Linked DNA regions of Cricetulus griseus. The protein of the gene in region 2 interacts with the protein of the main gene of each other region in a pairwise test. Links are inferred from orthologs where the notes say so. Each region holds a gene or a part of one and is shown on either strand. Other genes may lie near its edges. The genes, in order: Hspb8 and Qrich1.

What was found.
Region 1: the proteins of Qrich1 (region 2) and Hspb8 interact in binary tests that used the Homo sapiens proteins (3 or more experiments, as listed by UniProt). The two-hybrid records come from large-scale screens. The link is inferred for Cricetulus griseus from reciprocal best matches to the Homo sapiens genes QRICH1 and HSPB8.

What each region holds. Positions count from the first base shown.
Region 1 is NC_048597.1:96,473,981-96,477,887, reverse strand, and holds the start of Hspb8 (heat shock protein beta-8), read left to right. Parts: upstream 1-1,438; 5' UTR 1,439-1,965; coding exon 1,966-2,332; intron 2,333-3,907. UniProt on the Homo sapiens protein: Involved in the chaperone-assisted selective autophagy (CASA), a crucial process for protein quality control, particularly in mechanical strained cells and tissues such as muscle. Displays temperature-dependent chaperone activity.
Region 2 is NC_048597.1:216,700,247-216,704,153, reverse strand, and holds the start of Qrich1 (glutamine-rich protein 1), read right to left. Parts: upstream 2,566-3,907; 5' UTR 2,371-2,565; intron 1,616-2,370; 5' UTR 1,556-1,615; intron 1-1,555. UniProt on the Homo sapiens protein: Transcriptional regulator that acts as a mediator of the integrated stress response (ISR) through transcriptional control of protein homeostasis under conditions of ER stress.

The DNA.
Region 1 (3,907 bases), about 120 Mb from region 2:
AGAGAAGGAATGCAAGAAAAGGACACACGAGTCATGAAAGAGGCTAGAAAGCAATAGTTTGTGACTGTTTTGTTGTTGTTTGTTCTGTGTGGTGGATATGTGACTAGAAATGTAACTGAGTGAGTGAGGACATAAAACATGAAGCTCCAGTACTTGGGCACGGCCATCTGTATAGAGGTTCACTCTGAGATGGGGACAGGGCAGGTGTCCAGGTGGCTAGCTTAAACCAGCTGTGCGATGTCTTTATTTGTGAACCCATCACAATAAAGTGATTTTATGGAAGGAGAGGGTTAGGATGCAGCTATCCAGCTTGTGTAAGGCTGAGTTCTGCCTCCAGTACCACAGTCAATCAATAAAAGTTTTTTAAAAAGTTATGACTTATGATGGTTTGCTCTGCTGCCAAACAGGACAGTAGTAGAGCCCTTAGCTATCTGTGTGGTGGTGGGTGGGGGAGGTTCCACCGGCTAATGTTTATGAAGTGCTTAAGAGAAAACATTACACAACTGATAAGTTGAAAGTTGAAAGCCTATGAACACAGATCCTTCTACCAAGTATGTGACATCATGCATTCCTGATGACGCATCCCCAAGTAGGCTCCTCTCCTGCCCATTTCGCAGGTGGGAAACAAGCAGCTCAGGCATGCCTGGGAGTAATGTTACCACTGAGCAACACTCTTCCCTTGACCAAACGTCAGCCAGACTCCTCCTCAGAGGGAGGGCCAGGCGTTCATTGCCTTCACCTACTTTTAACAAGAACATGTCAGTTTAGCCACAACCCCCACGGTTCCCTATATGACCACCCCTCCACCCCCATGCCAGATCAATTGCTTTTCCTCTTCTAGTTTTCAGGTGAGGTCTGGCCACCCCAGCCTATCCTTAGAGGAATGCAGTTAGGTCAGTTTATCCAGAATCCCTCAGACCCCTGGATCCCCCTCAGTCATTTCTCATACATTGACCCCCATTCTGCCTCCAGGCAGTGTTGGGAGTTGAGCCCAATTTCTTCTCTTGCTCCAAGACCTTCCTATCCCAATAGACACTCTGTCAGGTTTTTTTTTTTTATATGACTTAACAAGTGTCATTAAAGAAAAATCATGATATGTTGTTGTTGGTCACTCTCAGAAGTCGGAGATACCTTTGGTCAAACTGTAAGTGGGGATTCCATCTACTTTTCAATCTAATGGGCCGATGTCTCTCTTCTTCTGTGGGTCCCCAGGGTGGGAGGCAAGATAGAACATGTTCTGGGGATGGTATTTCCAGAGTATGACCTGAACACTCAGCCAGGCGGAGGGTTATTAATAGTCTGGCTTTAGTGCCCTGTGGGACACTAGTGCCTGGAGTGGACGCTGCTGGAGTCAGAGGGAGGGCGGGGCGGAGCTGAGTACGGGGAGGAGAGAGTGCGGGAGAGGCTGGCTAGACTCGGACGCCACGGCCCCTCCCAGCTCTCCACCCGCTCCCGGAGCCCAGTTGTTCTCTCAGCGGATTCTCAGGGGCTGGTTCATCACCTTCGAATACTCCTGGGACAGGAGGTGCTTGCAAAACCCGCCCCCAGCCCCCAGCAGCAAATAAATACAAGGCTCCCAGCCCAGAAGCCAGGAGAAGTTTCTAGGCGCACGTCCCTGAGGTTTATTAAACTCCTGGCTGTGCTCAAGACCTCAGCAGCGGCCCTGGCTGGGAGCCTGGGAAGCCTGGGAGGCGGGTGACTTGCTGATAGCCTGGTGAGGTGGGACAGACAGAGGCCCTTTGGGATTCTGCTGGGCCTGCTTGGTGGGTCACATTTGTGAGCCAGGATCCCAGCTCCCTTCTGGGCAGCGGATGGTTGGGCTTGTGGCTAACAGAAGATCAGAATTTTCTGAAGCGGAGGACTAAACTCTGAAAACCATCTCAAGCCACATCACCTTGCTGTGTGATCTTGGGTAGGTGGCTCTGTCTCTCTGAGCCTCTATTTCCCCTCAGCTCAGCAGACACCATGGCTGATGGGCAGTTGCCTTTCCCGTGCTCCTACCCAAGCCGCTTGCGCAGAGACCCCTTCCGGGACTCACCGCTCTCTTCCCGCCTGCTGGACGATGGCTTTGGCATGGACCCCTTCCCAGATGACTTGACAGCCCCTTGGCCTGATTGGGCTTTGCCTCGGCTCTCATCTGCCTGGCCCGGAACCCTAAGATCCGGCATGGTGCCCCGGGGGCCTACAGCCACAGCCAGGTTTGGAGTGCCTGCTGAGGGCAGGAGCCCCCCACCCTTCCCCGGGGAGCCCTGGAAAGTGTGTGTCAACGTGCACAGCTTCAAACCTGAAGAGCTGATGGTGAAGACCAAGGATGGATACGTAGAGGTGTCAGGTGAGTGAGGGACAGACAGCCAGGGCGTGTGTGTGTGTGTGTGTGTGTGTGTGTGTGTGTGTGTGTGTGTGTGTTCAACCTAGACGCAACTTCAGTAAAAGGGACCTGTGACAGACAACGTGGCACAGGTGACCTCAGGTCTCAGGAATGCAGCCCACAATGTTATCATTAGAGACACGTGCTTCTCAATGGGGGACAGAAAGAGAATGAATGTGACCCAGTAGCTGGGGTCCTCAGGGCATGGTGCCCACCTGAGAGAACTGGCAGGGACCAGATTGGCAATTTTGAAGTAGACAGTTTAATATGAAGAATAGATTGATTCGTGGAGGACTTCTGAAGACACAGGAACAGGGGTTACCATACCCCAAAGCCACAACACTGGGGTCGGGGGAGTGGGGCAGGATGAATGCTGAGTCGCCATGCTATCAACAAGAGTAGGAAACTGAGGCTGGATGGTTATGACAGCACTACAGCTGCTAACCTTGGTAAAGAGGTGTCTGCCTGGTACCAGAAGCCAGAAACCCAGCATCAGGTAGCACCTGTGTTAATATAGCCAGAGGAGGTGGCTGCATTAACTGTCCACCTGTCCCCTTTGGACTTAGGAAATGGAGGTCAGCAGAGTCTAGCATAATTTGCTCAAGGTAGCAAAGGGTTCCAACCCAGGCTGCCTTGGGAACTGAGGGACAGAAGGGATCTATCTAGCCATCTATTTATTTATTTGTTTGCTTATTTATTTATTCGTTTGAGCCAAGTTTCTAAGCTGAGTTATAAAAACACACAAATTAACCCTACTACCACCAGCACCAGCAACAACAAGAAAAACCAGTTAAAAATCAACTTCCTGTGACCCTTCATCCCCTGACTATCTACTCCCATCTTGCAGCTGAGGAGGCCTTGTCCCAGGTCATCCAGTGAGTCAGCAAAAGGACCAGAGCAGAGCTTAGGCCTGGCCACAGCGTCAGGCCCAGGGCTTTCCCTACCCCATTGCACTCTGGGAGAACGAATCCGCTGGGGGGAAAAGACAGAGGAGACAGGAAGCCTGGCCCCTGGTGAGATGGGCCTCAGCTTTCTGCCTCCCTTCCAATTAACAGGCCATTAAAAAGAACTTGTTCCTGGCAGGGGCCTGAAGCCAGAAAATCAATAGCAAGCCTGCTGTAAGCACTAGCTGAGCAGAGACAAGCCCCAGCAGTGTTCAAGGGGGCCTGGAGGGTGGGGGTGGATTAAAGTCACTTGGAATAGAATTGTGAACATCAAAGGTTGTGAGTGTGGGTGTGGTGGGGCAGGCACACCGGGGCACGTGCTGACGTGGGTGTGGGCTCGGCACTGGCTGGTGAGCCAACACTAGCTCGGCTGCTGGCTAACCAACAGGACGGGCTATTCTTCAGCTGTCTTGTTCCTTTTTGGACATGGAGGTCTCCACTGGTCCTCAGGAAGGGTGGAGGTAGCTTCCAACAGGGCAATATTTATATAGTGGGTGCATGGATATTAAGTTTGTTTTTGTAAACAGAAATACAGCGGTAGCCATGGTGTGGGCATGTAGGGAGGTCCCAGTAGATAATAAATGATAAACACTAT
Region 2 (3,907 bases):
TTGTCTAGTATGTACAAAGCCCAGGGTTTGCTCTCCAACCCACATAGAATGGGTTTGGTGTTAACATACTTATAATCGCAGCACCTGGGAGGCAGAGACAAGAGGATCAGAAGGTCAAGATCTTGTTCTACAGCAACAGGTCAGCCCCAAATTCCTAAAACCCCGTCTCAAAGAGAAAAAGATCAACTTTCTAAGTGGGTCCAAAGAACCATTCCTTTCCCGTTTAAAGGAAACAAAAATTCACATCTTCTCTCTTCATGCAGTCAAGTCAGCTTAGTAAGACAAATCACAACCCAGAGCCAGAGAAGTAGTTTAGTGTTAAGTGCGTGCTCAGCATATGCAGACTCTAGGTTCAAGCCCCTGCACCAAACAACGAAAACAGACAGACAAAAGCCTACTAAAAAACAGAAATCACAATCAAATCTTATAGGGGAAAATTTGAAGCTCAGAGGACTTACACCTGGGACCAAATGCAGGAGGGGCAAAGAAAAGGTAATACCTCATTCTAAGTCAGAGAGATAAAGCATGGCCATTTAAACAGCAGAGAAGTAAGAAGCATGGCACATCAAGTACAAACCACTATTGACTAAAAGCATGCAAGCTCACAGAAGACACCCTTGATTTTGAAGCTGCTGTTAAAAAAGAACAGCCCCACCCAAAGTCCCTAACTGGGTTTTGATTTGTGTTGTTTTTGTTTTTGCAAGTAACTTAAATTCACAGCAGAATTCAACCACTTTTTGAGCTTTTGTTTGGAGCTACAACATCAACATAAGCTTTTGTAAGGAGATACAGAACTGTGTAAGTTCTTGGAGAAATAGAAAAGCTTATCCCAGAGGACTAAAAGGTATCTACCAGGTAATAATAGTTGATGGAATTTTAAAAAAGATAATCCAGAGTAAGTAAGCTTAAAAGGTACAAAAAGTTTATAAACACATCCTCAATAAATCAGACAATTTTTGGTTTTGTTTTGTTTTTTGTTTGAAAAACCATTTAGGGAGCTGGAAAGATAGCTCAGTGGTTAAGAGTACTCATTGCTCTTCCTAAGATCCTGAGTTCAATTCCCAGCACCGGCATAGCAGCTCACAACTGTCTAATATCCTCTTCTGATGTGCGGATGTACTTGCAGACAAAGCGTGCCTTTAATCCCAGCACACACGAAGACACAGGAGAATCGCTGAGTTCCAGGCCAGCCTGGTCTACAGAACGAGTTCCAGGACAGCCAGAAATAAACAGAGAAACCCTGTCTCAAAAAACAAAACAAAAAAAAAAAAAAAAAAAAAAAAAAAAAAAAGACAAAAACCCCCAAAAATTTAGGTTCTTACTTGATGCTTTGTAATGTAATGTTAATCCTGCATGCTCGTCTATTTAGATTTTTAAGGGACCATCGTCCAAGCAACAGTTTCCCACATCTGCAGCCCTCTAGTAGCTAGCTAGTGGTTTCTAGCAGACAACACCAAGAATGAATGACAGGATTTGTAAAGCTGCAGTATTACCAAGGGAGGAAGGGGTAACGGACTGCACACATACTTCCAGCATATGAATGATTTTAACTCACCAGTCACCATGTTGCATGTATGTCTGCAGCTTGTCCTGAGTTCTTAAGACTTCTAACATTCTGAAGAAGACAGAACAAAGAAGTTCCTTCCATCCTCAGCCTCTTTTTAAGTTTTAACTTTGTTCTTAAAAAAATACATTGTATTAAAAAAAAACATTACTATCAAATTTGATTTCTACTATTACTCCCTTTAGCTTGCTTTTCCTCTACCTTAGCAGAGCAAAGCTGTCTAATAAACTAGCAGATGTTTTGTGTTGGAAAAGAGGTGCATATTTCTCCTTCACAAACCTAGAATTTCCTTGACACCAGATCACAGCGCTGGGACAAAAAAAAAAAAAAAAAAAGAAAAGCTAAGGAGTTATAACGGTCACTTGGTTTTTACCGTGACACGGGCAGATTTTAGTAATTTCTGCCGGATACTTTAGAAATTAAAAAGAAAAAAAAAAGGCAGATCATTGATCGAGTTTATCAATGTGAAGAAGCGGCCCTTATTCCACACTGAAAAGCAAGGCCCTCCCACCCGGGCGGGGGCGTGGGGGGCAGCATCTAAGGGTCTAAAGCGGAATTTTTTAGAGCTCAGAGAGTTTGGTACCACACACATTACAAGATCTCTTTCAGGAGCACGCAGAGGTGACGTGTATCAACTGCGCTTATGGACGAGTGGGTTTCTGAGGGAAGAGAAGCAGGTACTAACGAGGGGCCCTGTGAGGTCCCCCTTCTCTGCTTGGCACAAGGCACCAGCACAAGGTGAAACCCCGAGGGGACCCGCAGGACTGGGCTTCCGAAGCCGGGCGGCACCCTCCCCGAGCGCCCACCCAGTACACGGGCCTCGCTTAGACAGGCGCATTCTTCGGTTGGTACGAGCGGTCTCGTCAGCCTCACAGCGGCGCGGAGCCGCGAGCCGGACGGCGAAGCCGCTACGTCCCTCTGCAGACCTCGGCCGCGGCTGCCCCGGACGTCACCAGAGCGGGAAGGGCCCGGCCCTCCGCCTTCCCCGCGCAGCGAGTCGGTCGTCCCCCAGGCTGCCTGCCGGCCGGCCGGCCCTCGCTTCACAAGGGGCGCCCTGCCCTGCGCGCACCCGGGGCCCCGGACGGGACAGCGCGACCGACCAACAGCAGGGCGCGCGCCGCACAGCCGGGGGTCGCCAAGACGCGCGCGCGCGCCCCGGAAGCCGCTCTAGCCCACGGGCCGCGGCGGAGAGTCAGCGGGGACGCGCACGTCGAGCGGCTACGCGCAACGGGAGGACCGCACAGCGCGCGCGTTACCGCGAGCAAAAAAAAAAAACCACACGCGCTCTCGTGCGCGCGCCCGCTCGCCCGCCGCCGCCGCGCGCTCTCGTGCGCGCGCCTCCCCGCCCCCGCCCGCGCGCGAGCCCGGACGCTCTCTTCCCAAGCCGCCGGGGCCAGCGGCAGCGCCGCCCGCCCGCCCGCTCGCCCGCCGCCCGCTCGCCGTTGTGTGGAGTGGGCCCGCCGCCCCGGGCCACAGCCCTCCCTGCTTCCCCGCCCCGCCAGAGCCCTCACCCGCCACGACGCCACCGCCCGCCGCCTCCGCGCTACCCGCCGGCCCCGCTCCACCGCCCGGGGCCTCGGTTCTGCCGTCGCCGCTCCAAGACCGACAGGATTTTCTCCTCACAGCTCCCTGGGCGCCATCTTACATTCAACCCTCACAACCAATGGGAGCTGAGTGCCCCTCTCGCGAGAATCTAGGCGTCGGATCCCGCGAGAGTTGCCGGTCGGACTTAAAGGGAACGCTTCTGCCCGAGAGGGAGGCTGGTGGCGCGGAGCGTGCATCCCTGATTGTCCGAAGGAGCGCCACGCCCACGGACGCCCCTGCATGGCGGGGAGGGGCTTAGGCCCGGGGTTCGACGCCCCGGGGTTATTTTGCTCCTGCCCGAGGTCTAGGAGCGCGCTTCTTGAACACACCTACGGCGTCCCGCGTGCGCCTCCCCTGGCCGCACGGTTCCGCGCGAGGCGTGGCCCGGCCTACCTCGGCCTCGTGGTTAAGGTGGCCCCCCAAACCGCAAGGCTGGGCCCAGGCTTAACAGTTGTGCCGCCCCTGGAAAACGCTCGGGGCTGCTGCTGCTCTGGAGAAAACAGCTTCTGGAACGCGCACCGTCGGCTCCCATCTGCCATCAGTCTGCCACAGTCAGGTCCACCTTAAAGCGGGCCCTGGGCAGCCTCGTGTTTGTATACAGGGAAAATGTGGAAAGCTTTAAAGCTGCAGGCGCTCACCTACAGCCTCACCAGCAGCTCGCACCAACCCAGGCAACAGTCAGCCTGTGGTCGATCCTTTCTGCCTTCTGCACTTGTCCCTGACCCGGCAAACTCCAACCTAACACTCCTCACAAGTCAT